Rattus norvegicus: one gene and its partners. The protein of the gene in region 5 interacts with the protein of the main gene of each other region in a biochemical or structural test. Links are inferred from orthologs where the notes say so. Each region holds a gene or a part of one and is shown on either strand. Other genes may lie near its edges.

Region 1 (4,370 bases), on a different chromosome or scaffold from region 5:
GTAAGACTGCGAGCAGTTCAATCGTTCTAATTACGTAAGACAACCAAACACACCAATCACAGGAGGTGAGCAGGGAAAAAAGCAAATCCATGCGTGGAGTTACAGAACTGGTTGTTACTCTTCACCCGCCTGCCATGGTGCCCAGCCCAGTCACTGTAACCTGCCAGGCACACAGCCTGGGAAGGCATTGTGGCCCTCTGTGATGTGCTTGAAGGACGAGCACCTTCGTCTACACCCTGACACGCTGTATACCCAGCTTTGGCCCCTCTGAGCATCTTTACAATTCCTGCACTCACTCAGAAGCAAGCCCCATCATTTTTAAAGGCTGCTTTTGTGGGGGGAGGGGATGGGAGAGGACCTTACTGTACTCTGTACCTCAGTCCTCTGGCCCCAGGTCCCAGCATCTCACTGGACACTGGGAGGACAAAGAATACGGACAACTAGGCAAGGTGGTGCGCACCTGAGCTCTCACAACTCAGCCTGCCAAGACTGGACAGTGAGCTGAGGCTAGTGTGGGCTACATAAATGGATGCCATCTCGAAAGAGGGAAATGAAGGAAGCTCTGCCCACCAAGACAGGATGAAACACTTGTAAACGATCTTCGGACTCTCCCTGTCTTTGGAGGTCTTTCCTTAATAAATCTACTCTTAAAAAAAAAAAAATTAACCTGTGACCTAGGTGTGGTCTCAGTTCAGCTGCCTAAGTCTGAAGGTACTCGGGCTACTTAGACTGTCTCATCCTACCTCCTGAGTTAACTTATGAGCATCATCCCCGCAGAAATAAGCTTTCTTTTCCTCCCTTTCTGTAATACGTAGTGTAGGTTTATGAGAAGGCCTGGAACTTGGAACTCACACTTCTGCTTCAGTCTGCCAGTGTGGATGGGGTTATAGATATATGTTAACCAAGTCTACTTTTAGACTTGGCTGTCTGAGAACTTGGGATTAAAAGCGTGTGCCACCAAATCCAGCTCAAAAGGGGTGTTTTCACACTGACAAACCACTGAAAAATAAGACTGTGGGTACAGGGATACAGAAGACTGTGAGACACTTCAGACAATCTCTTTAGCACTGTGAAGAGGCCACAAATTCTAATTCTGGATAAAAGATTCTCCTTACCCTAAAGTCAACATGCAACTTGTGATCCCGGCAGATGGGGCAAGGATTCCCAGCCACTTTATCCTTACGCTGTGGGGGGGAGGGGGGGAGGGAGAGGTGGGAAAAAAAGAATTATGCTATCTTCAATATGGCCTCCTCTTCATGCCCCACCAAGATGAGAACCTTAGAAACTTACAATGCATGTCTTTCGGGTCCGCTGTGGTGGCACACCACCTTTGTGGTTGCGGCGGTAGTCAGCCCAAACAGGGCGAGAGCCATAGCGGTTCTGGTATTCTGAAATAAAGACCAGATGAGTTTACTTATGCATTCGAGAATGGAAGGGATCTTTTAGCCCCATCTTCCTCTCCTTTGCACCAAACTTGGGTACCTTCTGAATCCAGGTATTTCCAAGGTTCGTTCTCAAAAGGGGAGACGGGAAGTGAGGATGAAGCATCTTCAGGTGGGCTTCTGGTGCAGAGAGTCTGGAGGGGAACCTATGAAGGGAGTGAAAGGAGGAGGAGTTCCAAGAAAAGGCTGCAACTATTTGGTTTATCATACTTTGGGGAGAGTTGGAGCGTGTGCACAAAAATATCAGCATAACTTGGCAAGAAGATATAAGAAAGTAGCAATTCTGTTGTTGTTAAACTGACAACCACTCTACCTAGGCTCCCCAATCAGATCCTGTAGGATAAGCCAGCAAGGTAGAGGTTGTTAGTGGGATGTAACGATTTAAAAACCTTGGCATACTAAGATCTGAGCTTGCTTGAGCATTAGTTGGTTCTACTGGGAAAAAATATGTCCAAACCTTTGGAAGTAAGATTCATGGGGAGCAGGGGTGATTCAAATCGATGAGAAAAATCCAAAGTCACTTCGGTGACCAGTTTCATAAAATGCTGCGTCAACATTCCACAGGGCAAAACAAATGTGAGTGCTAACGCTAGCTTTAAAGCCACCAAGCCTGTCATTACTTCGGTGGTAACCTCTGTCACCACTCTGTAGTCCCATTTTAGGGAGTGGCGTCCGGACAAGCCTTCCTATTTCTCCCTGCCCTGCCAAGAACCTCCAGGGTGGTGAGTACCTCAGGCTAAAGGGCAATCTCAATCTAGAGAGCAGAATTAGACTCTCACGCATGCTCTGATAAGAAAATGATGTGTGAAAAGGTGGAGTAGGAGTGGTGTATCTTGCTTTTAATTCCATAACCTGGGAACCAGAGGTAGAAAGCTCAGGGAGCACCTATGAGATCAACCTAGACTGTCTCCGGAACAACGGGGGGGAAAATCTTAAAATAGGCCCTTTGCTACAAAAACACTTTCTGGGTACCACTTCAGGTACTAACGATCTAGTTATGAATTGCTCATTTCCACTGGGGTAACCCCACCACCTAGTTCTTTTTCCTAATGGTAGTCGGGGGGAGACGATGACACGTAACCCTGGTTCTGACCCGAACGCTCAGTATTTAGAAATCGCGCGCCGTGGGCTGGAGAGATGGCTCAGCCGTTAAAGGCTAGGCTCACAACCAAAAATATAAGAAATCGCGCGCCGTGGGAACAGAGGGTGGTGCAGATCTAACACGTAAACATATGGGAAGACCCGTGCCCCTTAACTCATCGTAATGCAGCAAAGGTTGAAAGTATCGACACCACCGGTCGGCAGAGAAATTCCTCCACGTTTTACCTGAGCTACATAGGAACTTCGTAAGAGTGAAGGATACAGCCTTAGCAGCGTGTGCCGCAAGGAGGCAGCCATCTTGTCGCACATCCAACGTACGGCCTGCCGGAAGAACGACTGCGCATGCGCCGGACAAGGACTAGGGCGGGGCCAAGGACCTGCCCCGCAAGGCGGAAGGCGGCAGCTCACGTGCCTAAGGACGGAAGCGTCAAAGGGCGGGGTCCGCGGAGGGACGCGAATTTAAACTGCGTCACAATCGAACTAGCGTTCAAAATTGCATTTCTCCCGGACCAGTCACGATGGCTCATAAATTCCATGGTTAGTGTTTAACACGAAAGCAATTTTGATTGCGATTTTGACTAAGGTGCTCCCAGTGCGCATGCGTACGGTCGTTTCGACCAACCGAGGGTGAGACACGTTTGCCCGGGCGGAAGTGTTGGGGGCAGAGGAAGGGGAGGTGCCGGACACGGCGATCACGCGCTGGCTCCGAGGTGATCCGAAGGAGACGGAAGAGGGGATTAAGGGAAGGGACTCCAGGAAAGTGGAGGAGGGACGTCCAATCCGCGGGCGACCCGGCTTTTACTGTGGCCAATCAGCGTTCCCCTCGCGCACAATGTGTCACGACGAGGGCGGTTCTCCATCACGTTAGGGTGCGTTGGGCGGTGGCCGGGTATAAAAGACTCCGCCCGAGCGGGCGGCCGCCATTCTGGGGTTCGTTTAGAGGTAAGTTTGGGTGCTCCGTCGCTTTGAGGGTAACGTTTTGCCGAGAGCGGTTGGCCGGGGAAGTGGGGTGTTTTTTGGATTTACTGGGCAGCCGCATTTTTACCTAATGCGGCTGCATCCTGGGACAACAAGGAATTTTGAAACGTTTAAAGGCGACCCGTACTGATGACATCTTTCTCCTTTTGTGTTCCTTTTACCCCAGGTTGAATTTTCTCGGAGAAAGACAGGCCGGCCATCAGGAAAACAAACAAGCCTCAGCAACATCTAAACCCTTGAAAGGATCCTGAGAGAGGGGGGAAAGGGAAAACAGCAGCCACCAGCCCAACCACTTGTGTCTTCTGCCCCTCCCCACCTATCTTGCCCACCCCACCAGCCCACGCTGCTTGGGACTTGAAATCTGTGGCCGAAGGACCGTCACCACATAACTTCAAAAATAATCAACCACCCTCCCTACCCAAACCCACCCAATCTCACTCATCCAGCATTTCCTTTTTGGAGTCCACTCAGAATTTTTTTCAACGACCCCCTCTCCCTAATGGAGTTGGGTGGGGGGAAAATGAAAACTGAGTTGGTCTTTACTTTTTTAAGAGACTTTTTGATCCAATGAGGCCCCACAAGTAACTGAGTTTGGGTCCTGGTTGGTTGTTTTATTTTTTTTCCTCCAAAATTTTACCCCTCCCCCCTGAGCCCGAGGTGCTGACGTCGCAAAAAAATTGGATAGTAAGTGTCGAATTTTCAAAAACCAGCCTTGAACAAGAAATCAACGTTTCCCGTTGTGAAACCAAAAATAATGAGAGGAAGAAATGAGACCATAGAACAAACGTAGAGTACTGGAGAAGGACCAATCGGGTCTCTTAAATCTCCATTAAAGGTCCTGTGGGTCTA
Region 2 (4,549 bases), on a different chromosome or scaffold from region 5:
TATGTCACCAGTGGTTGCTTTTGTTTATTCTCATATCTGTTCCATCTGGTCTCAGTTCCTTTGGGGGTTCATTGAACTGGCTGGTGTCAACCTTATAATGTTTATGAAAAGATAGCTGGAAAGGAAAAGAAAATATGGAGAACATATCATAGGAACAAATAAATCATCTTGCTTTCTTGTTTCTGGAATGAATCACACAACCAGGAAGGCAGACCAGCCTGATGAAGCCCTTTGTCTACAGCTAGACCACCCTGAACGCGATGGATCTCGTCTAAGGAAGCTCTCTGACCTTGAGGCACAAGCTGGAAAGAATGTGGTGCTTACTATCTGCAAAGGGTCTGTCTTGTCCTCTCCCAAGCGAAACCTTTAGAGGATAAACCTATATGCTCTTAGGGATGTGTAAGAATTACTGACCTGTTTGAAAACAATTTGTTGTTGTTGTTGAAATAAAAGTAGAGTGGAAGATCCTTAATGTCTTTTATAAAAATGACAGATAGCCATGTAATCTACTGAATATCAACCGTTGAACCCTCAGCGTATTAAGTAGTGGAAGAGGCAGACCCTATCCCTATACAGAGCTTATATTCTTGTTTGCTGGTATCTAAAAACAGCAGCAAGGCAGATGTTAATTAGCCCACATTTAGTCCTTATTAGATAATTTCGTTGTACTTTAGCAGAATGAAGCTCTCCAGGCAATATTGAAGACCAAAACAAAGAGGTCAAAACAAGAACTATTATGGAGAATGTCACCCTTAACAAAACATTGTCACACATACTATTTCATCTGATCTTTACAAAACCCTGTGAGCTATATAGATTATGCTTTCTTTATGAAGGAGCAGGTAAGCACCCAGGTCCTGGCCTCAGACAGTCAGATGACAGAATACTCTTTCCTCTCCAAAAATATTTTTTAATCTGTTAAAAGACTATATAAAACAGTACTTAAGAATGTAAAAATTTCCACATCATCTTTCAACCTCTATCACTGGAGTAGAACTTTAAGTATTATCTGACAGGAAGACCAGAACTAATGCAATGTGTTTGAAGAAAAGACTGTATTGTAACTTTAGAAAGCGGGTGAAGTGAATATGTTGCTAAGTTTGAAACCATAGAGTGGCACTGGAACCACTCAGATCAGATAAAGATATAGGGTTCTTACTTAAAATGGCAGGAGACAGAAACTTTCTGCAGGACCACAAAGCAATCTGATTTAATTAGGTGCAGAATTTCACTTGTTACTTTGTACCAGTTGAACTGCTAGGCTTCAATAAACTTCCACTAATTAAAACACATTCTCACTTTGCAAAAGCCTTATTCTGCTGGACAGCAAATCAAAGCCTTTAAAGTTTCAACACTGGGTTGTGACAGGGCTCTACCATTAACACATCCAAAGTGGCTTCCCAAAGGCTGGCCACACCCCCAGTTTAGCATCTCCTCGGCTATTTTGTATACTCAAACTGTAACAACGGCCCCACATTTCCCACCCACCAAAATCTCCTAATCCACATTTTAATCAACCATTTTGCTGTAATAAAACAAATGGTTGAGCAATCACTTGTGCAAAAAACCCAGTAAGGAAGGGCACCATGCTAAAATTAGTGCCTAGCAGTGTTTGCTCACAGTTCTGTAGGCAAACAAACAAGCAAAAGTAGAGGAAATGACAAGGCTGCTTTCAGGAAATGCCTGCCCCAAAGGAAGGAATGGGAAGATTCAACCTTGAATTGTTAACTAAGAACTGAAACCTCCGAAGCAGCTCCTATTCATAGACAAATGTATCAGTGGGGAGAAAAGGTGAGACGGTGCACTGAGGGAGCAAAGAAAAACCAAAAGGACACGTGATTAAAGGATAAAACGGGGAAGACAGTCAAGACCCAGGGTTTGGCTTTGCCAACCCGGTTAGAGGATAGGCTTTTACCCTTAAGCCCTAAGGGTAAACACGAACAGCTAGAAAACTGTTTTTGTTTATGTTTTAAGGAGTGCACTGGAGAAGAACCTTGGGGGGTGGGGGGGAGGCAGAAACCTGCAAGGAGGTTGCTTCAGTTCCCTGAGGTGGGTAACAATCTGGCAGACACCTAGAAAGTCCACAAGACTCAGAAGGGTCAGCCAGGTATAAATCTGTCAGATTCATAGGTCTACAAGGCTCAGTGACTAACAGCGGAAGTTGGGTCCTGAGAAGGTCCCTGAGAAGGGTTTCCTGGGTGACTCAACTAAGAATGAGGTAAAGACCCTGCTGCTCAAGTCGGACTTCAGAGGAGACCAACTAATAAGTGTGAAGTAAGGACAAGCTCTCTGTGCATGGTCCAAGAGATGTCAATGCAAGCTCCTACAGTGACTGACCAACAAAGGAATAAGGTGGAGTATTTAACGAAAGGCTTCAGGGTAAGAAAGAGAGTTGGAGGAGCAATGCTTAAAATTAGCTCTCCACAAGAACCAAAGATGCCACTGGAAAAGACCAAAGGTAGAGACCAAATACTCTTGTAACAGGGAGGCTGGGTCCCTTAGAGCCGCCTTAAGGTCAGCATCAGCCTATTCTTCAGGCCCCAGAGCAGAACTTCCCCTACCCATCCTCTGCTCCGGAGTCCACACTTCAGCCTGCAACTCCAGGATCCCGCCACCTCCAGCCACACGGCTCCCAGGCTCACCCCAACTATGGACTCACCCCCTCCCACCCCTGAAGCTCGGTGCCCAGGGCAATCTCCGGATCCCCGGACTCCGCCTTTTGCGCCTCGGCGCGGCCCCTGCGCCATATTCGAGGGTCTGAGTCCTGCCCCGGTTCACCCAGGTTTAGGGACACCAGCTTGGCCTCCCGGGTCTGGGCTCCCAGCTCCAGACCACGCTACCGGCGCTGTTTCCAGCTTCTCTGCCTTCAGTGCTTGCCTGAGCAAGCCTGGAGGCAACACAAAGGATCCTCCGCCCAGATCGCCCGTTTCCCCCGCCTCTTCCTAGGAGCTGCAGACTGGGCGACAGAGCGCCGGCTCCCGGTGGCAACGCAGGTCCTGGAAAGCGCGAAAGCAGCAGACACTCACCGTACCGTTCCAAGCTCCGCACCTCAGGACACTAAGCTTTGATCCCACCAACACCAACACTGCATCAGCAGCCTACCGCCGGTCCCGCCCACGCCCCGCCCACGCCCCGCCCCCTCGACCTCCTCCTCCTTCTCTTTATCCCCTCCCCCAACCCTAATTTCCAGCGCGCCAGGACTGCAGCCGAGCCGCGGCAGCGCAGGCCCCGCCCACCGATGGCTCACCCTAGAGCCCCGCCCCCTCCGGCCCCGCCCCCTCGCGGGGGTTTCAAGTTCTGGTTCCCGCCATCTCTGCCTCCACCATCTGCCGCCTCCGGCCGACTTGCACTGCTTGAGGTAAATTTAGAGAGGTCTCTAGGCCAGGCCTGATTCCAGGGTCACAAAGGTGGGCGTTCAGGGAGACGCCTCTGTCAGTCAGAGCTCCGGCCGGAGAAAATAGGGCTAAACCCCCGCACTCGCAATCTCTACTTCCTCTCAAATGAACCGAGGCCTTTCTTCCGCCTAACTCTTGCTCCCTCAAGTCAGAAGCCCTGACTACCTTACTGAAATCTCCGACTGCTTTGGGTCCTATTTCAGACTCTGACTCTGAGAAGTGTTTTTTGCATAATATACGAAAACATGAGCAAAGCAGTCAGTATACTTCAGGGGCCCAGGATACTCTGAGGACAAATTCACTCCATAGAGCAGTAGCTTGCTTGTCCCCAACGCAATTGCTTGGTCGGATGTGAGGGACTGTAGTGTACGTAGGTACCCAAATGTCTACCATTCGCTGCGTGTGGAATTCGAGCTCTTACATTTCCATAATACATTTCTTAGTTTTTCCAGTTCCAACAGAGGCTTTAAAAGGATAAGTGGTTTGCCCTTCTGAAGAGCCATAGTAGTTAAATGCAGATTCCAGAAACAAATTAATCTATCATCATCCCTCTCAAAGTGAGTGAGGATCAGCCAGTTTCTGTTGGGAGAAACTTTCGCATAGGTCGCACTCAACCCTAGCGATGCTTCGTGGAGGCTGTAGTTCACAGGGAAAAACTAATTGAGAAATCCTGATCTCCTTGTTGGGCACTGACCCATCCCTGTGCCAAACGTTCTTAACCAAATGATACCTTAGATGAAGTATCCTCAGCCGTTCTCTCCGTTATGTTGACTTCATCTTGTTAAAGCAAAACAGCTGGAGGTGGTATTTTTCGTCTGAGCCCTGTAATTTCTCCTCACAGCCAGGACCCATAGGGAGCTGAAGTGGTTCTGGGCCTCAAGAGAGAAAAAAATCATGAAAAGCAATATGATGCTTTCCAGGTTGGGCAGCTGGAGTAAGAGGGCTTCTGAAGTAGTCTAGGAACAGGGAGTGGGCCTTAGCTTCCTTCCATTTGGTGACAAAACTGAACTAGAAGTATAATAGATAAACGTTTTCAGGCCTACATCTGCAGGAAGATTTAGTCTGTCAAGATAAACTACATGTCAATTAAATGATAACTAAATCGTTAACGGATATACTTTCAAGAGGCTGTAAAAATGGTGTGAATGTCATTG
Region 3 (2,750 bases), on a different chromosome or scaffold from region 5:
GGGATGCTGTATGGGGCTCAGACAACTGTGCCACGGGACTGAGCACTTTCCCCTTAGAGAAACTCACTAATAAAGAACAGCCCCTTAGCAGCCCTTCCAGTGGCTTTGTCCTCTCAGGCACAATGGTTTCTCACCTGGACTCTTCAGACAGGACCCACTTATCTTTTAATGACTCAGGACCCTTGTAGACAGAATGTGATAGGACTGCCTGCTGACTTTCCAGTTCTTCCTTGTTCTGTCCTCAACTTCTCCAGAAAATGACTCCAGACAAATGACTGTTTCCCCAAGCTAATTTCACTGAAAGTGAAGGGAGTATAGGAAGGGGAGGGATGCCAAGCCCATCTTAATAATTCTGGGTAACCCAAATCCTTGTTTTCCTATATCCCGGAGGCACCTCGGGGGTGATGTGTCATGTGGGGGTCTAACAAACCAAAAATCCATTCCAAGGCCTTATACCTCCAGCTTGACTAGCACTTAGGCTCAGAAAGCATTAACAAGCCAGACCCAAGCAGGAGGCAGTCAAAACACTTTATTGGCAGAATAAAAAAGTGCAGCATGGGAAATTGTCCTCTCAGGGGGCATCACGCAAACTTTCTGGGGTAGGCAGTAGGGCTCAAAAACTGGCTGTCAGACAAAGGTGATCCGTGTCCGAGAAGTATTGACCTGCCAGACATTTAGCTCCTCATATTCATCCAGAGCTGCCTGGAACTGGGCTGGTGTGAAGCCACGTGATATGCAGCGCTGTTCAGCCTCAGAAAAGCGGACACTCCGTCCCCCTGATACCAACTCACGGACGGTAGCAAATATCACATCTGCTGGCCTCTGGGTCCTGAAAGACAAGGATGGAAAAGGTTAAGTGCAAGGCCCAGTAGCCATCAGCACCAAAATCCTGAAGTCAAACTTGTCCATGTGCAGAAGCCACAAAAGTGACCAGCTCAATTATGTCAGGTAGCCCAATTTCATTAAGACACTCACCTAGCCGTTTGTCCCTTTTCACCCAGAAGGGAGTCCTTTGACATCTCCATCAACCTTATGGCTTCATTCACATCTTCCTTCTCCACAATATCTACCATCCGAAGGCGAGCCTAAGGGGAAGGCGTGGGGAAATAGGGATAGGAGGGGAGGAGGGGTGAAACCAAGGATCTCTGCTCTGGCTTCAAACCCGGGCAAGCCACATTCGCCTACTCATAGAACAAAAGTGGGTTCTTCCCTGCCCCCCACATCTGCAGTGTTGGGCCGGCACTGTCAGACCGAGACAAGTGCAATGCCCAGGGCAGCGTCCAGCAATTGCCCGTGTCTCCGCCTCTCAACACTGGCCAGTCCCGGTGGGTGTCCTGCCGTCCTGTGAGGGAGACCAGACCCTTCTGAACTCCACTAGGCTCCCCATCGTGACAAGTGGAGCCTGGGGTGCTCAGCTAGGGCCACTGTCAGAGGCTGTGTCCTGGGGGCTCGGGAAGTGCTAGCTCAGCAGTAGGTCAGGCAATGCACTACCTGCACGAACAGCACTTTGGAGCCCCCATGACTAAAGGTCCAAGAGGGGAGGACAGAAGGAAGACTTCTAAGATATCTAGGGCATCAGGAACTCAAGTCCTTCCAACCCCCTCGTGGATTCAAGCAGCCTTTCCCTCCGTGGGTGTTGCATGTGCCCTGCTGGAGCAGCAAGTACCCACAGTGCGGTAGCACAGAGAGGACCACTATCTGCACTGTCAGCACTTTAGTCCCAGCAGGGCTGGTGGGAGGGAAGAAGGCAGCTTGAAGGACATTAGGTGAGGTGGCAGGCAAGGGTCAGCCTTCTAGCAGACAGGGACCCAGCACTCACCAGAGCAGTAGAAAGTCGGAGAATGGCCAGCAGGGTCCGGGCAGAAGTGTAGGTGGCATCCTTACTGGCCCGGGCCTCTCGCCTCATCTCCACATACGCTGCAGTGATGTAGTCAGCCAGAGAGTCAGGCACTGTGGGCTGCCTCTCGCGGCACATGGCAATGTACCGTCTGTGGGAAACAAGGCTCATGGGAAAGCGGAAGACATGCATGCTTTATAGGAGATTTCCTACTTAATATTCTATGCTGGAAGTGGACAACTATTTGCTTAGGCATAACTGAGGGACTTCTCTAGGCTTCCCAAAGCAAGACAAATGCACCTGCATTGGGCAGATTTAACTCCTCTGAACTTGTCACATAAGGGGACAGACTTCAGAGGCCCAGAGAAAATCAATTTAGAAACCTGCAGATTTGTGAGGTGCTGAGTCATCTGTGCTATGGAAACAGACACGGCCAAAAAGCTATACCTGCCTAAGACAAGAAGAAGACAGTAAGGGAGACCCTTTTATATATGGGGGAGGCCAGTAGTTTTTGGAGACACCCCTAAAAGATCTCTAAAAGATCCCCTTGCCTCAGGATGCACAGCAGCTAAGTTTACTTACAGCCTGCTGCTGTCACCCCAAACCAGAAAAGTTTCTGATGATCCCTTGCTTTGTGGCTAAAGACCCAGGCTCAGTATTCTCAGGCTCAGCTACTTTGAGGGAGGAGGAAGTAAATACATTGTCCTCTGCAGACTGAAAGCTTTTCAGACACACTTGGCATAAGACAATGCCACACACAAGTATTCCCCTGAGACATCCCCATCCCTCTCACCTCATAAGTTTCATGTCCAAAGGTTCAAATTGAGCAGGGGGCTGCCGGCTGTGCTGGTGGACATAGGTTATGTGCTGGGCCAACCTGGAGAGAAGACAAGGCTTTAGAGCTGTAACACCC
Region 4 (4,594 bases), on a different chromosome or scaffold from region 5:
TTTCAATTCTTTTCTTTTTCAGTCATTCTTTCAGAATTTCCATGCATGTGGGGTCTTCTTCAACCCCCTCCAATAGCGTGTGCTCTCTCTTGTCCTCTCTCCAACAACCTCTTATCTATGTGAAGACAGCCTAACGGCCATAGACATTTCTGTAGATGTCTTTGTAAACATCTTCCTTAGGTCCCAACTAGGTTCTTAAGCTCCAATCCTGGGAGAATGAAAAGAAGTTTCCTAGAAACAACCACCAAGATCAAAATGAACGCAGAAAGCTCTAGTCTCTAGAACAAAGCTTGTCCCCTCCCAAGCCTCTCTGTCTCTAGTAAGGACTTGCCAGGTTCAGAAGGAGTTAGCTGAGCCCTTCAACAATCACAAGGACAGTTTGCTTTCTTGGAAGATTTCCAGGAAGTCTCATAGGCTGCATGCCTTCACCAGTCAGAGCACCTTGAAAACAAACAAACAAACCTCATCTGGTCCTGGGTGGCTTAGCAGCATCTGTCCCAGCAGCAACCAATATGTTCCTGAACCCCATATGTCATCTTCATATTTGAGGACCGAGAATTAGAGGATGCAACATGTAGAAGTTCAGTCATACCGAACAAGGAGTTTTTTGCACTTCTGCATCCAGTGTGGGTTGGTGGAATGCTTTGCAAAGCCCTCTTCACAAGCCGCTCAATCAGATGGCTTTGAGTCCACACTTTTCTTGGAATCTTCTGCTTCTGGTCGGTTGAGACAGTTCACAGCTGGTAAGCCTCTGGTGAACACATCAATTAATACACTTAGGCAGGCTGATGACCTTTGCTTAAAGTCTTTGGGACTGTTTTGGGAATTTAGGGGTGGATTTTTATTTTTAAGCAAAAGCAGTAACAGAATATTTATGTATCTATGTATATGAAGATATATACATGTATGCATATACACACGTATATATCTGATATATATGCATATATGCATATACATATACATCCGGTGCTCACATATATGTGAGTACATGTATGTGTGTGTATAAATACTTTCATTATTTTTCAAAAGAAGTTAACCAATTATGTAACTCAGTTTGCTGATTGCCTGTCGCCTCCGCAGGTACCAGGGTTTGCAGTATTCAAGATTTGCCTTTTTTAGACCCCTCTTTGTAGTTGAACCCCACCCCCACCCCCAGACTCTCCCTTCACACGTGGCCAGGTCACCGGAGCAGTGACCTCAGCTCAGAATCTCTCCTTATGCCCTCTCAACATCCAAGTCCCAGAGGCTCCCCGCGTTCTTTCCTCTTCCCTGCACCCGTGTGTGCCCAAAGGAAGACCTCTCACGGGTGACTGGGGCACCTCGAGTTACGCTACAGGCTCCAAATCTCTCCCAGCTCCTTTTGCCACAAGCCTGGTGCCTGGCCATCCTGGAAGGCTAAAATGTGGCCCAGCCAGCCGCTGCTCGGGATCGGGAGCCGGGAGGGCAGGCGTCCTGGAGAAGGAGATGGGGAAGGAGAGCGAGCCGCGCCCTCGGGCCGGCCAGGAGGGCGCCACGGCCGCAGCCCGAGGGCCCCGCGTCGCTCTCCCGAGCCAGGGTTCTCGGGAGCGGGCCGCGCAGGAGACGTTAGCGGGAGGGGTTCGTGTCTGTTGGGGGAACCGGTTCCTGGGGAACAGTCCCTTTCAGGGCGGCCACAGTGGTCAGGCCGCCATCCGCCCTCCCTGGTGACGCCGACCAAGGGGCGCGAGTGGCGACGTGCTGTGCGTTGCGGTTCGGTGTGCCTGGCACCCCTGGCTTTGCGGCTCAGGAGCCCCGGGCTGCGCGGTTGGCCGCGCCCCGCAGCGCCCCGGGGGCCGAGCATCAGCGGACAGCGCTGCAGGTGAGCGGTCGCCAGGGCGATGAGGCTTCGGGCGCACGCCCGCCGCGGTTGGCATGGAAGCGGCTCTGCTGGGCTCGGGGTGGCTGCTGATTGGCTGATTCAACAGACGCGGCTGGGTCGAAAGTCCTCAGTGGCGAGCGCACTAGTCAAGGCCGCTGGAGCCGACGCCCCTGGAATCCCTCCACTCCGGGGTCCCCTCCCTCTGCGCACGGCCCCGCCCTCCCCGCCCCGGCCCGGGTGCGCTTGCTAATCGCCCAGAGAAGAACCTGAGAAGCAGGGCCGGCTGTGGGTTCCCAAGCAGGTTTGGGGGACTTACTTCTGGAAAGAAGCACCTGCTTATCGCTTGGGAAGGAGACTCATCTGTCCCCAGTCAGGGATCCTGGATTTAGCCCCAGATCAGGAAGAGGGTGTGGGGGAAGGAGGATCAGGAATCATAGGTTCTGCTTCCCCCTCCCCTAAATTAATGTGGGCAGAGAATCGTGAGTGGCGTTTGGGCAGGCTCTCTCTCTGCAACTTTAAGACTGGGGTCATATTAAAGCCCATTCAACCATTCAACCATTCAACCATTCAACCATTCAACTATTCAACCATTCAACCATTCTGAGTTAGTTGGTTGTTCTGATGCGTGAGCTGTCACTTGGGACCTTAATGTTTGTTGAGAAGTTGTGACCTCTGGGGCTTGGCACTCTTTTTTTTTTTTTTTTCTGCATTTCTGGATCCCCAGGTTGAGAAGTAAACTAACTGTGTCTCCTTCTTTTTCCGGGATAGCAGCAGGCTGTGGCTTGCTAGGCAATGCGTCGCCACAGCTCGAAGAGTGGAGTCGCACTGCCTCCAGTGGGCCAAGGTCCTGATGCTTGTCAGATGCTCACCCGAGCTCAGCTTGGCCAGGATCCCCCACAGAGAACCGTGCTAGGAGTGTTGACTGAAAATGAGCAGTACAGGAGGGCCTGTGGCCAGGTAATGACCCAGGAGCACCAGGAAATACTCTACGGAGAAGGGTTGGCAATATACTTGTGTGTGTGTGTGTGTGTGTGTGTGTGTGTGTGTGTGCGTGTGTGCATGTAACACCAGGAAAGATGCTGCAGAGAAAGAAGCCTTGCTGCGTGTGTGTGTGTGTGTGTGTACAGTCATGCACCCGTGCCTGTGTGTCACAAACGCTGGGAAAGATGCTGTAGATAAAGAAGGCTTTCTGTGATAGTGTACGTGTGCGCACATATGTGCATATGTGTGTGTAGCCTCCCCCATGAAGAACATATGTGTAGGGACTGTTTTGGGTTAAGTGACTCGAGGGCTAGCCAGAAAGAATGCAATTACGCTGTACGATAGCCCTGGAGATGCTCTGGGCCAGAAAGGTGTTCAGGAGGAGCTAGGCCACCACGAAGTAATCAGGGAGAGCTTATGCTGTGCTCCGTGGGCACACTGTGTGTGCCAGGATACACCAGCTTACTTTATAAAATAAAAGTTGCTTCTAGAGCTCACATCTCTACCACTGCAGACCAGGAATGGACACTGGGATAGTTACATACTTGTCTGCTCCAAACCAACTATAGGATTTTTCACTGAAGACAGGAATCCAGACGTTTAAGAGAAGAAATCTGAATCTGCAATGATGGTTTTTTTTTGAGATAGAAAATAAAATCACCCCCACCCCCAGCCTGCTACTAGACATAAGGATGCTTGTACTCCGTATTGCGAGTCTATGGAACCCAGAGCTGGTGCTTACAGGAGTCCAGTCTGGAAGTACCAAGTGTTCTGGTAGAGGCTCCTTTAGAGGCCCCTTATCACTTCCTTCAAGGCCACTGCCTTTTGTAAGGACTTGATCCACTGATGTCAGAGATACCCAAAATGATCCTTTTAATAAGTGACAGGAGTTTAAGTAGAACTTGATTAGCAATGTTCGTTCTTTAAACTTACACCCGAGACCTGAATTTATGAATTGGAACTGGTGTCTGTACTAAAATGACCTTGTTTCATGTTCACACCGGTGCTGCCTGGAGCCACTGCTTGGTGGCCCCTCTACACTCCACCATACACACCCTCTGCTGCCTGATTCCCATTCTTTTTTAAAAAATCTGTTTGCATCTTGGTTTTAAAATAATTTGATTTCCGTATTACTGTGTATGTACAACCGTACATGCATGCTGTGTGTCTGTGAGCATGCATTGCCACGGCATTCATGTGGAGGTCAGAGGACGAGTTTGGAAGCTCCTTCTCTCCTTCCGGGGCTTGAACTCAGATCACCAGGCTTGTCAGGGAGTGTCTTTAACTCCCAAAGTCATCTTGATTCCTTAATCTCCATAAGTCCTGTTCCTTCTGAATAAGGAATAAGATAATCTGATTTCTCAGAAGTATCCCATAGTCTGAACCTTCTCTTTTTCCCCACTCCAGGAGGTAGGGGGAGTCTAGCAAAGCTGGCTTTGAACTGACATGTAGCTCTAAATGGCCTCAACTTCAGGCTCCTCCTTCCCCAGCCTTCCTAGTTCTGACACTGCAGGTTTGTTGTCTTTGGGTTAGCAGCTGCAATTCCTAATGCTTCCCTGGGCCATTCCCATGCTGTTCTGTTACTGCTGTGTCCCAGCTCTTGCACCTATGCGAAGCCCCTCATGGCTTCCTGGCTTTCAAGAACTTGGCTCTCCAACAACTTCTCTTTCTCTTCTCTTTGCTCTGTCTCATGTACATCAAACATGTACAGATGTGTGAGAATCATCCCACCTTCAACCTCATTCAGCTACATGGCTCTGTGCAACCACTGCTCCA
Region 5 (3,871 bases):
TGTTGGCATGGCATGCAAGCAACACTCGCCCCAATAAATATAATTTTATAATGTGTGCTTATAAATAATAAGATTTTAATTAGGATTTATACTGGTATATAGTAAATGCTACTTTTATGTATCCTATAATCAGAGATACTTATCCCATTTGTCTTCATTTCAACCACATTACAGGGGTTGAACCAGGCTGTGTATGTGTAAGCTAGAGCTCTATCACTAAGCTCCATCCCAAACCTTCTTTGGCCTTTCAGACAGGGCCTCACAGAGTTGCCCAGCAGGCCTTGAGCTTGTGATTCTCTGGCTTTGGCCTCCCCTCAGCAGCTGAGATTACAGGTCTATGTTACCAGACTTAGTTATAACTTATATTTTTGATAATCAAGTTGAAAAAGTATTTCTATATGTAGCTCAATAAAGAACTAGTAGCTATGTAAATTTTATTGTCTTCCATTTCTTTAGTAAGTGACATCCTTCCATGTATATTTGATCAATCAGAATACCTAAATATGTTGCATGGTTCTCTAAAGCCTCATCAGTGATGTGCCAGTTAGGATGTTCATGATTTGACTCTTCCCCAGCTAAAACGAACACCAATGCATGCTGGGCATGTTGCCTCATCCCTGTACTTGGGAGACTGAAGCAGTGAATTTGAAGTTATACTGGGCTACATATTGAAGATATAGTTTCAAAGAGAAAAAAAATTAAGAATGTCAATGGGGGGATAGGAACTTGGAAGAGGGGAGGGTAGCAATAGGAATGTAAAAAGAATAAATTACTAAATTAAAGGGAAAAAAGAATAGCAATACAAAACTGCTTCTGATTAAGATCAGCAAACAGCCATCATTTTTATCATAATGTGGATCACTTATCACTATCAGAAACTTCCGATATACATGCCATGTCATGCAGCAGCATGGCACTCTGTGAATTTACTTCAGACATGTGTGACATCTTGGCATGTTACAAGGTGAGCTGAGGCTACCTGCACACAGACATCAGCTACAAAGAGCATCATACAGAGAGAGGGATCTAGATACACACAGGAGCTTCCATTCATGTTCTTCTACAACACTTGAAAACTTAATCACAAGTGTACATTATTCATGTAATTAAATACACCATACAGATATCTGCTTAAAAGGTAATAAAGCTCTTCTTCTCGTTTACTTTCTTGCCCACCAGGTGCAAACTACATGTACTGAAAACTTCTGATGAGATGGCATTAATTATATGAGTTAATTGGACTTCTACTTTAAAAACATTCAGCCAGTTTCAAGTAGCCTATGATAACACATAATTAATGTAGTGAAGGACTTCAAAGCCAGAGACATGATTTGTCACTGCACAGAATCTTTCATCTGAGAATTTAATACAGCTTCATGTTCATTTTGCTTGAACCAGTGTCTTTCTGAAACAGAAATGTCCGATGAAATGTAAGAAATCCACCAGTAGAATTAAGAAAGGTGGGTTTTCCTGACAGTAATCTACACTTAGTAAGATATCTTCATTTTAAAAACATACTTACTTACTATAATTACTGTGTGTGAGAGTGTGAACAAGCATCTCAAAGTCAGAAGCTGGTTCTCTACTACTTCTATCCAGAAATCAAACTCAAGTCATTAGTTTGTGTGGCAAGTACTTTTACGGGTGGTACATATTGCCAGCCTTGATGACTCCATTTTCAAAACAAGCAAAATACTAAGATGCATACAGTTTCCAGTACATTTTGAATAAAGATTCTGGGTATGATGGTACACACATTTAATCCCAGCAATCAGGAGGTAGAGGCAGGTGGGTCTCTGGATATGTACCCTGCCTGGTCTACTTAGCAAGTTCTAGGCCAGCCTAGAGCTACATAGTGAGACCCCGTTTAAAACAAAACAAACAAACAAACAAACAAACATGTTAACCTAAAATGCTCTACATTGATGGCTTATAAAACTACTAGTGTTGAGGCACACATGAATACTGACTGGTTCTCAGACTATACACAGAAGAGACCTAGCAGCTGGGTAAGCACAAGTAATATACAAGCCCATCCAAGCACACACCTTTTCTTTGCCCCCCCAATTCTTTTCACATATTTACTTAACGCACATAAAGAAAGCAGACATCCAACAGCCTATCCCGTTTTGAACTTTAAGAAAGCTTAAATCAAAATTGTCAGGTTCAGCATTACTGTTTTCAGCATTCCCTTAAAAAGGAAACACCAACCTTGATCTTGGAGTCATTTTTGTGGGTGTTGGCAGACCTTCTGAAATTTTATAAGGACTCTTTAGGGGTGATATATAGATGTTACCTCCAGGAATCCGCAAGGGTGAACTAGAGAACTTGTAAGGGCTTCGAGGAATGTGAGGTATTGGTGACAAGGTAGGAGGCTAGACCCAAAACAAAAGGAAAAAAGATCATTGAGCTAATGTTTTGGTGGGATCCATTACTTTGTCATTAGATTTCTCCAGTTAAAGAATATTTCAACATACCCTGGTGGAGGCATACTGTAAAATATTTGTTTTTAGTCTCTGCATGAAAACTGAGTTGTAGAACACTATAATGGAATCAAACTCCTCTTCTCTGATCAAAACACGTTTAAAGGTCTGAGGAAAAAAAACATGTTAAATAAATTTAAGAACTTCTCTTTAACTTTTCTTTTAAAATAGTTGTACATAGTTTTATTTAAAAAACACATTTTATACAGAAAATAATAATCTACAAAGGCTCCCTTAGACTAAAATTATAGATACTCTAAATATTTAAAGTGACCAAGCTGATCCAGAGAAGGGGCCTGGAAGCCACAGACAGATGCTGGCCACTCTACAAGGAAGGTAGGCTGTGCTTACCAAAGCCCGGCACCATCACCACTACTACACAGACAGTATCCACTGGCCTGTAGCAGCCTTCAACCTCTCATCTAAAGGGTTTAGAACATGGACACCATGCTCTTGCAAGAAACAGACATTGTAAGTAGATTTTACGAACAAACCCATTTTTATTTTTATAAGCAGGGTCTAGGTTTGCAACTTTGTCCTTGTGATATCTTCTTCTCACTTATCATTCTGAGTAGGAATTATAGATCTGAGATACCAGGTCCAACTTGTATAAATGTTAACTTGGTAAAACTAAAGAAATTTTATAGAGTATCTCTGTAAAACAATCTATATAACTAATTTAGAAAATAACTCCCAATATATGAGTAAAACCAAACTGGTTTGTATCACTTTCCAAAAATACAATGACAGACTGAAACAATAACCCAGGATTCACTGTGCGTTCCAGGACAGTGTAAAATGTGTGTCAGACTAAGTGTGATTACCATGATAGCATCTCTGTGGGAGAAAAAACTAGAGACACAAAATGGGCTTGCACTGGGAAATTTTATATCTTTATAGGGATTCACTTACAGTATCTTCTCCTGTGAAAAATAAAAACTAATATATTATGTCAAAGTTAATTTCAAATATCCCAGTTACTACTATATAAATATAGTATTATTTATGAACAGCAACTATGGATTTAGATTTCATAGTTTGCCATACTTTTATACTTCAGTTACAAATAATTATAAAATTAAATAAGAATATATAATCTCTATTTAACAACTGAAGCAAACTATGAATACTGATTTATTTTTCAAAGTCTTACCATGAGAAACTACCTACCTCCTGGGCAGCGTGAGGAAGATCCTTATACGCAGTTACGATGATTTTGAATTTAAGGTCAATGTTTTTCACCTTGCAGATGCCATACATAGAACACATCATAATCTAACAAGTAAATGTGACAGAGGCATAAAGGACTTTATTATGTCACCTTGCTTTTTAAAGTATTATTAAAAGAAGGAAGTTTAATTTATTCTGAGTTTTCCCCTTATTCTGAG
Region 6 (4,473 bases), on a different chromosome or scaffold from region 5:
GCAGGGAGGGGATCACTGAGTTCAAGGTCAGCCTGAGTTACATAAAGGGCCCTGTGTTTTTTTTTTTCTTCTTTCTTTAAAGATTTAAGGCTGCCTTCAGACACACCAGAAGAGGGCATCAGATCTCATTACAGATGGTTGTGAGCCACCATGTGGTTGCTGGGATTTGAACTCAGGACCTCTGGAAGAGCAGTCAGCACTCTTAACCACTGAGCCATCTCTCCAGCCTGGGATCCCGTTTTAAAAACAAAAATAGTAGCTGAAGATAAGAACCAAAGGTCTCTGTGGGCTTTCAGTATTATTGAATTTAGTATGAATCCTGTCACTGGGCTGAACTTAAATCCAGAAAAAAATTCTAAGCAATTAAAACCCAAACAGACAAAACTACCCACCCCAAATTCTGGCTTTATGAATCTTCACAGAAAAAAAAATAGTTATTTTTAAGCTATCTACTCTAGAAATTCAACATGAGAACACTTTCTCATGACTGGACTCCACTCATGTGCTATGACCCTCATCCCCACAGTGCAGACGAGGAGCCAGTCCTTTCTTGGACACTCTGGGCACTGCTGTTACTCCTGAGATGTGAGCCTGAATTTCCACAACGCCAACACTGATGGCTGAGCTTCACTCTCACTTGGACGTTTCTGTTCAAAGCACAGCTGGCAACACGAACAATCTTGAATTCTACAAAGCATGGTTTATCTTAATAACAACTTGCTGAAGGTTTTAAGGGAAATGATGGGAGAAAAAAGAATGTGAGATGCACTTTCCTTCTGTTGGGGCTACTTTTTTTTTGAACAGGAAGAAAACCTGACCCTTTAATGTCTAGTGGGGTTCTGCCTAGAAACACACATTACTGCAGCCCTAGCTGGCGGAACATCATTGCCCAGAAGACATTCTTCAGAACCAGCTGTCTCTCCCTGCTCTCAAAGTCACCGCTAGCCTCTTTGGGAGAAGAGAGATGAGGTCAACAGAATACTGTTCCTGCTCAGCTTTATCTGTGATGAAGGTTGAAGGTCTCACCAACTACTTTGGAGATAGGCTGCTCCCCCCACTGGAGCCATAACTATAGTCTCCAGCCATCTCTGGAGGCAAAGAGATAATACAAGCTCTCTCTGCAAGGATCTTCTGAAATTATGATACCATGCTGCATTAGAAAGATCTGGCAAGCGCTCCACAGGAGGGGACAGAAGTGGAGCGGCCAATGAAATACTGGTTCAGACACACGTCATCACAGACCCTTGCTGAGGCCATGTAAACGTCCAGACAGCGGTAATCAATGCAGTCAGCTGACGGTGGAACATTCTGGGCCACATAGGAGAAAAGTTTTTTTTTTATTTTTTGCTCCAGGATCTTACTATATGGTCTGGGCTGGTGTGGAACCCTGATTGCCCACCTCTGCTTCTCTGCTGCTGGGATTAAGAGAAGTCCCAAGTATGGATGAGGGAGAAATAGTTGAGAGTCCTATCCCCCAGCTAGCCTTTGTCAGTAAGACTGCAGGCCCAGCTCTGCTCTGGGCTTGCAAAGGATTCTGGGTTCTAAGACTCAGTTTCCCCTGGGTTTAGAAAGCACAAATTATATGGCACTCACTCTGGTTCCTCCAGGTATCAATCAGTACCTGTAACCTTCAAGGTGCCATTCAGGAAATGCAAACCCTTCCCACAACCCCAGGCCCAACAGAGACCAGGCCACACTGACAGGCTCCAGAGGCTCAGCCATGTGGCCTGTGGCTCTGGTTTGGGAAACTTGGAAGAAAGAAAGCATGGAACTCAAGAGGCTGAACACCCTGTAGGCAGCAGACCTACCTGACTGCTATCCTGGCTTTTCACAGTCTTGTCAATCTTGGCAATTTCTTCATCCGGATCTTGCAAAAACTAAAAACAAAAAAATTCCCAGTTCACCAAGGGTCCACACGGTGCAACCCAAAGACAAAAACACAAGAGAAAAGAGGGAAAAAAGTTTTTTAGGTTCTGAACGGCATTCAACTAATGGAAACCTCCCCATCAACTAATCCTCTTCACTAGTAGGTGAGAAGACCCAAATTTGGTACCCAGGTAAGATGAAATGGGGGGGGGGGTCCCCTTCCCAACCTGTATCCTTTGTACTCACAACGGCCACATTTGCCTTCCTTTTTCTGGATCGGACTGAGAGGTCGGAGCCACCTTCTTCTTTCATGTTGCTGTGGTCCTTCGAGTCTCTGCAAAGGCATGGTGTCATGGGGTGCTGCTCCCCCAAAACTCATTCTGCCCCTCCCCCACCGCTACTCACCCTTACCCTCCCGCAGCAGGGAGGCCACTCACCTCTCCTTCCTCTCCCTTGGCATGGCTCAGGACTTGGAACTCAGACCTGGGAGGACATCAAGTAGGCATCGTGGTGAGCACGGCCCGCAGAGGGGACCCGAGTCCTCCAGTTCGTCCCGGGCACCCCTCCCCCCTCCCGCGCGGGCGGCGGTGGCGGCGGCGGGAGCCTCCCGGGCCCGGAGGCCGGCCGGGAAAATGGCCGATGGGCCCGGGTGGCTTGTCACCCGCAGGCGCCCCCGGCAGCCTGCGACCCTGGGTCCGAACCTGAGGTTGAGGATGGAGGCCTAGCCGACCTTTGAGAGGACCCCCCGCTCCATCACCGCCCTCGGGGCCGGGGCTGCCTCAGTGTCCCTTTCTACACCTACCCCCTGACTCGTCTCTCACAGCCACCCTAGCCGGGGCACCCCGAGCTGATACCTCAGGGGACCGGGTGACCGGGTCTCGCCCCACCCCCACCCGGGCCCGGTCCGGTCGGACCCGGTCCGGAAACCTGGGAGTCGAGGGAGTCCCGGGAATCCAGGCAGCCCGTACCCGAAGCTGTGTCCGCCGCAGGCAGGCGCGCTCGAGCGGACAGGAGGCCGACGGCAGGCGGGAAGCAGGAGGCGGGAGGCGGCGGCCGAGCGCGCGGCGCTGGCGGGATCCGCGCCTGCCCCCTACACCGCGCTAGCTGTCGAGCCGGCTGCTCCTGCGCCCGGCTTCGAGCGGGACATTTAAAAATCCCAGCGCGCGGTACCGGCCCCGTCCCGCCCTCGCGCCCCGCCCCGCGGGCAGCGAGCCCCTCAGCGGCCGCCGCAGGCCCAGGGCCCGCCCCGTCGCCGCGCGGACCAGCGAAGAGCTCTGGTTGAGGCGGGGCTTCCCAGAGGGCGTGTTCTAATATGGGCGTGTCCTGCACAAAAGGGGTGGGGCTAGATGTCAGGGCCTGCGCGCCGGGGGCGTGGTGCGGACGTGGTGGGCGGGGCCTGATCGGGGCGGGACGCGGGAGAGTCGAGTGGCGCGCGCGGCTGCGGGGCGGGCTCGCTGACGCGGGAGAATCTTGGCGCGAGCGCCCGAAGGATTAGGAGCTTGCGGGGCCGCGAGGAGCCGCGTGGGCCGCGCAAGTGGAATGTTACCTCGGCAGATTGCAATAATCGGCGGCCGGGCTTGACCGCAGTGATGCACCTGAGGGCCGGGCGTACAGAACCCGTCGTCCGCCTGTCTCCCGCGCGCGCGCACTGTCCTTCCCGGCTCGTCCTCCCCGCCCCTGAGACACAGAGTTCCGGGCCGAGTCCGGTGCGTGGGTGTCCCCAAGGTCACAACAGCTCCTGGGACCGGAACCAGCATTCAGGCTGCTGCTGTTAGATCTCATGTGGACCAGCAGCAGGTCCTTTAATCTGTCAGTGTCTCTAGATCCATTCATTCATTTGGCTATCCAAGCACATTTCTGTGCCTCTAGCCCAACCCGCCTGCAATAGGCCTCTCTGACCCTCAGGTCCACATGAGGTGAGGCAGTCTCCAGCATAAAATTCTACTCCACGTGTTTTCATCAACCTCAGAATAAGCACATGCCTCACAACGTGAAGTGACCCTCAGCCACCCAGACCTGACCTTCAGCCCTCCGCCTGAGCTGCTGGATCCAGTATTCGGTGCCCTTTCTCACCCCAGAGCCCCAGTGCTTGCAGTACTCTCTCCTGACCCATTCCAGCTGTTTGTGTTTCCGGAAAACTTGAAGGCCTATGGTAACCACTTCCTCTCCAGCATACCTTTCCCCAGGACGTCCTCTCCAGTGTCCAGTGTCGCTGCCTTGCTATGGCAAAGCACTTGTTTCCTTGAATCTCTTGTTCTTCACTCTGTTTTCTTATCCTCTTGGCCCTTCTCGACTTGTTCGAGCTCTAGATTAAAAGGGTCACTTCTCTTATGTTCGTAAAACATATATATATATATGTTTATCTCCCATCCCACACTGACCCAGGTCTGTGGAGCATACAAGTTACTGAGAAAGACATTTTAAACACAATGGCTACTAGCAAAGACCTGTACTCAACTTGTTAAAGTGTATAAGGCAGAAGGCAGGCAGGGTCTGATACCTCTGGGGACTTTCCTCAGGGTAAGTGACTGTCTCTGGAAGTCAAAGTGGGGTGTGCCCTTCCCACAGGTCCCGACTAGCAAACCGGGGGTGTCCCAGGCTGCTGAG
Region 7 (3,871 bases), on a different chromosome or scaffold from region 5:
ACACCAGCCAAATGGATCAGGGACCTCATACAGGGAGACAAGAAGATGGGCGTCTCATCATCGTCCTTAGCGTCGTCGTAACTTTCTACCTGGCTCACCACAAACTGGGCATGGCGTAGGAGGGAGTCCTCGGTGAACCGGTTCACATTGATGGCAGAAGGAGGAACAGTGGTCTGTAGGGGAAGAAAAGATCATGTTTCTAGTATTTCGCGTCCTTGTAACACTAGGGGATGGAGAGCCTAGTACAGCATGCAGGCTAGGCAAGCAATGTACGACTGTACCATTAAGCCACAATGTGCCTCAGCCCCTCACTGAGGAACTCTAGGCAGGGGCTCTACAACCGAGCCACGCCCCCAAGCCTGCTTCATTCATCCGTCAATCAAAACCCTTCTAGTGGTAACAGAAGACTGTGCAGATTTTTATGTGGATCCAAACCTACCAGAGAAGGCAAAGTTCTCACCCACCTCGATCTTATTGATCAAGTCTTCATAGACAGCGTCAGGATTGCTCTGCAAGAACTCGACCACAATCTTGCTGATGTAAATTTTCTCCTGCATCAGCCCAAATATTGGTGCATACTCTGGGCTGGGCTCCATCAGAAAGTATTCAGCAAATGCTGGGAAGAAAACATATGACCTGGGTTTTTTAGAGAATATGGATGATCAGTCCAGTTAGGATGGTTAGCATTTTACCTGTTTATATAGACAGCTGCTTGGTTTAAATAATGGGGTCTTGCCATGTTGCCTAGGCTAGCCCTAAACTCCTCCGCCTCCTGAGTATCTAGGACAACAGGTATCAGCTTTGTCCAGCAGGTAAAACATTAAAAACAGCTGTTTCAGGGCCAATGAGATGGCTCACCAGACAAGGGTGCCAGTTTGCAAGTTTGACAACCTGAGTTTGATCCTAGGGACTCACAAGGTAGAGGAAGATCAACTACAAGTTGTCCTATATGACCCACATGCATGCTATGGTGCACATAGTAAGTGTAGAAAAAAATTTAAGGCCATCTCAAAACTGATGGCCTCCAAGATGAACACAGGGCAAGCATGAATCTACCAAGTTTCCAGAACAGAACAGTCTACAATTTATCCTACAACCAAAAAAAAAAAAAAACCAAAAAAACAAAGCAAACAAAAAACCCACAACCAAACCCCAAAAGCCCAACTTCTCCATTAGCTAGTACCACTCGGGCCAGAAAAGGGAACTTAGCTAGAGCTGGGACCCATTCAAGTTGTAAGCATTTGACTATTGTACAACCAGAGGATCCACTTCCAGGCCGGTTACGATGAACGCCAGTCACCAGATCCCGCCAATGCTAATGACCCCTCTGCACAAAGCCCATTGAGCCCAGGCAGCCAGGAGGCTCCAGGACACCTGTGACTGCAGACACTCACCGGTAGAAAAGCCAATGAGCGCCTTCTCGCCACCGTCAAAGCCACTGATCCACCACTGATTGATTGGCCCCAGGTTCTTGCCATTAACACCACCTGTGGGAAAGTCTTTCTATAAGAAACAGACTAAACATGGCGACTTGTACCTCCCATCCCTGCCAGGAAGACCCAGCCGGCATGCTGCCTCTCCAAGATCTTTCTGCAGAACTTTGAGCTCTCCCTTGAAGCAGTACCTCCCATGGGATATCTTGCCTCCAAATTTGCTTGCTTCTTGAAACAACCCTTGTTTGAACATTTCACCTACCTTCCACAGACGGATTTTCTTCATGAATTGCTTTGGCAACACCAGAAAAGTAGAGTTCAACGTTCTTCTCAATGAGACCAGTGTCGACAGGACACAAGTGACCGCGACTGCAATACACACTGAACAGACAACAGACATCACTTTACCACCCAACCCAACACTGAGGGCCATGTTGGTCTTTGCCAACACTGGTCTTCACCCAATGGTGACTCTCACTCCCCTCTCCTGTACTACAAGCACACACGGTAACGTCAGAGGGTTCCTTTGAAGCTGCAGCTGTAAGCGGTTAGCTGTGAGCTGCCCTATGTAGGGATCAGAAACTGGAGTTTACTCTCCAGACTAAAGAACACCGTAGTACCAGGCCTGTCACTCAGCCAATGCAGAGTCCCTTATGTCTCCCAGCTTCCAGCACAAAGGTTGCAAGCCCTCAGCATCTTCCCGCACCAGGGAGGTGGCCATAAAACTCAACTGAGGGAGAAAGCCTGGGCTCAGCTGTGAGGGTGCCACAGTGAGACTCACAGCTATCTACAGGGCAGGCTTCAAATGGCCCCTTGGAGGTTCTCCTGCCTGTGAGGGCCTAGCCCTCTAGATCACTGGCAGACAGAATCCTCTATGGGAACCAATCTCCTGCGGCAGAGAGAGAACAGTCACCATCCAACTGGTAGGGAGGACAGTCACAGCCACACTGGGGGATCTTGACTCAAATGGCTCTAGGTACTTCAGCCCATGATGTGTTCAACATCAGAGCACCCAGGAGTTTAATGCCTACTGCGATGCCAATGGGTGCTCCTTCCACCACATATAGCCCAGGACTTGTGTCCAGCCTGGTCACATCCTAGCCCTGATTCTCCACTAGCCACTATGGCCTCTACGTTTACTGCCTGCTCAGTTCAGGCCCAGGTGAACCTTCAGGCAAACTAAGCACACCCAAGGCGGCTGCCTCCTCCTCCTCCACGTCAGGCCTCCATTCTGACTGCAACTCTGCTTTTGCCATTTCTGTCTCTCCATTTCCCACTCCTTGATCCCCTCCCCCTGCGGCCCAGCCTCTCCTCACTACTGAGCTGTTAGGCGGAGTATTGTTAACCAAAACCCCACAGGAGTATTGTTAACCAAAACCCCACAATCCCAATATCGAGCATGAAAAATACATAGCACACAAGCACACAAGAACTGCCATTCTGCTCCTTTCAAACAAATAAGAGATGCTGTCTGAGCCAGAGATGGCGGGCACGCCTGTAATGCCAGCACTTGAAAGGCAGAGGTAGGAGGACAACCAAAAATTCAAAGTCAGTCTGGCTTGGACGGCTGTGTCGGAAGCAGGAGACTCTGAACTTGGTGAGCATCATTTCAAGATGAGGGTCCCATCTTGTGATAATACACACAAACACTGCAGAATCACCCAAGTCCAAGTGCCTTGGGGTTGCAAGTATTAAATCATCTGTGAGCATTCACTCGCTGTTTCTCTGTGACAAGGCAAGGCTCTGAGGAGCTACGTCTGTGGAGCTGGCCCTCTGCACAGAGCTGTTCTTGTGTGAGCACAAGGATGAGCTTCAGAAAGGCACAGACTAAAGATTTAGCTTACAGACTGCACCAACCACAAAGCAGCCAACAAACCTGGGGGCGTGGCTTAGGATGAGCTCGCTTGCCTAGGGCCCAGAAGACCCTAGGTTCCCGATCCAGCAGTGAAAAAGCATCAGAACAATAACGAAGCTTTGTAGCCAGGCACAGTGCTGCAAACCTTTAATGCTAGTATGAGCTGAGGCAGGCAGATCCAAGTTGAGTCTAGCCTGATCGATTTAAAGAATTCTAGCCAAGGCTACATAGTCTGAATCGTCTGAATCCTGGTTTCAAACAGAAAAAGGGGAAAGGGGAGAAAGAGAAAAACTAAGCTCAGTGGTGGCGCACCTGGAATTCAACACTAGGGATGAAAGGAGTTCACAGACAACCGGATGACACAGTTAAAGACCCTGTCTCAAAAACCAAAAGCAGGTCTGGAGGTTCAATCCCACCTTCAACCCCAGCACTCGGGAGGCAGAGACAGGCAGATCTCTGGGAGTTCAAAGCCAGCCTGGTCTACAAAATGAGTTTCTGGACAGCCAGGCTACACAGAGAAATGCTATCTGGAAAAACAAAACAAAAAAAGAACCAAAACAAAATCGGGCTGGAAATGTGGCTG

The links.
Region 1: the proteins of Rb1 (region 5) and Mrps18b form a complex in vitro, tested with the Homo sapiens proteins (2 studies listed by BioGRID and IntAct). The link is inferred for Rattus norvegicus from reciprocal best matches to the Homo sapiens genes RB1 and MRPS18B.
Region 2: of the proteins of Rb1 (region 5) and Casp3, one has a biochemical effect on the other in vitro, tested with the Homo sapiens proteins (2 studies listed by BioGRID). The link is inferred for Rattus norvegicus from reciprocal best matches to the Homo sapiens genes RB1 and CASP3.
Region 3: the proteins of Rb1 (region 5) and Mcm7 form a complex in vitro, tested with the Homo sapiens proteins (2 studies listed by BioGRID). The link is inferred for Rattus norvegicus from reciprocal best matches to the Homo sapiens genes RB1 and MCM7.
Region 4: the proteins of Rb1 (region 5) and Ccna1 form a complex in vitro, tested with the Homo sapiens proteins (2 studies listed by BioGRID, with this or other methods). The link is inferred for Rattus norvegicus from reciprocal best matches to the Homo sapiens genes RB1 and CCNA1.
Region 6: of the proteins of Rb1 (region 5) and Ccne1, one has a biochemical effect on the other in vitro, tested with the Homo sapiens proteins (9 studies listed by BioGRID). The link is inferred for Rattus norvegicus from reciprocal best matches to the Homo sapiens genes RB1 and CCNE1.
Region 7: the proteins of Rb1 (region 5) and Dnmt1 form a complex in vitro, tested with the Homo sapiens proteins (2 studies listed by BioGRID). The link is inferred for Rattus norvegicus from reciprocal best matches to the Homo sapiens genes RB1 and DNMT1.

Annotation. Positions count from the first base shown.
Region 1 is NC_086038.1:2,841,507-2,845,876, reverse strand, and holds the start of Mrps18b (28S ribosomal protein S18b, mitochondrial), read right to left. Parts: upstream 2,872-4,370; 5' UTR 2,853-2,871; coding exon 2,769-2,852; intron 1,589-2,768; coding exon 1,483-1,588; intron 1,389-1,482; coding exon 1,291-1,388; intron 1,185-1,290; coding exon 1,116-1,184; intron 1-1,115.
Region 2 is NC_086034.1:52,410,661-52,415,209, forward strand, and holds the start of Casp3 (caspase-3), read right to left. Parts: upstream 3,073-4,549; 5' UTR 3,032-3,072; exon of another isoform or gene 3,027-3,031; intron 1-3,026. UniProt on the Homo sapiens protein: Thiol protease that acts as a major effector caspase involved in the execution phase of apoptosis. Following cleavage and activation by initiator caspases (CASP8, CASP9 and/or CASP10), mediates execution of apoptosis by catalyzing cleavage of many proteins.
Region 3 is NC_086030.1:22,155,407-22,158,156, forward strand, and holds the end of Mcm7 (DNA replication licensing factor MCM7), read right to left. Parts: intron 2,715-2,750; coding exon 2,631-2,714; intron 1,989-2,630; coding exon 1,820-1,988; intron 1,729-1,819; exon of another isoform or gene 1,647-1,728; intron 1,525-1,646; exon of another isoform or gene 1,438-1,524; intron 1,343-1,437; coding exon of another isoform or gene 1,307-1,342; exon of another isoform or gene 1,092-1,306; intron 1,086-1,091; coding exon 976-1,085; intron 830-975; coding exon 628-829; 3' UTR 515-627; downstream 1-514. UniProt on the Homo sapiens protein: Acts as a component of the MCM2-7 complex (MCM complex) which is the replicative helicase essential for 'once per cell cycle' DNA replication initiation and elongation in eukaryotic cells.
Region 4 is NC_086020.1:141,390,295-141,394,888, reverse strand, and holds the start of Ccna1 (cyclin-A1), read left to right. Parts: upstream 1-1,588; 5' UTR 1,589-1,837; intron 1,838-1,926; exon of another isoform or gene 1,927-2,138; intron 2,139-2,605; 5' UTR 2,606-2,629; coding exon 2,630-2,794; intron 2,795-4,594. UniProt on the Homo sapiens protein: May be involved in the control of the cell cycle at the G1/S (start) and G2/M (mitosis) transitions. May primarily function in the control of the germline meiotic cell cycle and additionally in the control of mitotic cell cycle in some somatic cells.
Region 5 is NC_086033.1:54,789,645-54,793,515, forward strand, and holds part of Rb1 (retinoblastoma-associated protein), read right to left. Parts: intron 3,759-3,871; coding exon 3,654-3,758; intron 2,592-3,653; coding exon 2,478-2,591; intron 2,376-2,477; coding exon 2,212-2,375; intron 1-2,211. UniProt on the Homo sapiens protein: Tumor suppressor that is a key regulator of the G1/S transition of the cell cycle. The hypophosphorylated form binds transcription regulators of the E2F family, preventing transcription of E2F-responsive genes.
Region 6 is NC_086019.1:99,924,930-99,929,402, forward strand, and holds the start of Ccne1 (G1/S-specific cyclin-E1), read right to left. Parts: upstream 2,981-4,473; 5' UTR 2,835-2,980; exon of another isoform or gene 2,721-2,834; intron 2,350-2,720; 5' UTR 2,327-2,349; coding exon 2,304-2,326; intron 2,201-2,303; coding exon 2,113-2,200; intron 1,878-2,112; coding exon 1,809-1,877; intron 1-1,808. UniProt on the Homo sapiens protein: Essential for the control of the cell cycle at the G1/S (start) transition.
Region 7 is NC_086026.1:27,731,776-27,735,646, forward strand, and holds part of Dnmt1 (DNA (cytosine-5)-methyltransferase 1), read right to left. Parts: intron 1,815-3,871; coding exon 1,696-1,814; intron 1,488-1,695; coding exon 1,395-1,487; intron 617-1,394; coding exon 465-616; intron 174-464; coding exon 1-173. UniProt on the Homo sapiens protein: Methylates CpG residues. Preferentially methylates hemimethylated DNA. Associates with DNA replication sites in S phase maintaining the methylation pattern in the newly synthesized strand, that is essential for epigenetic inheritance.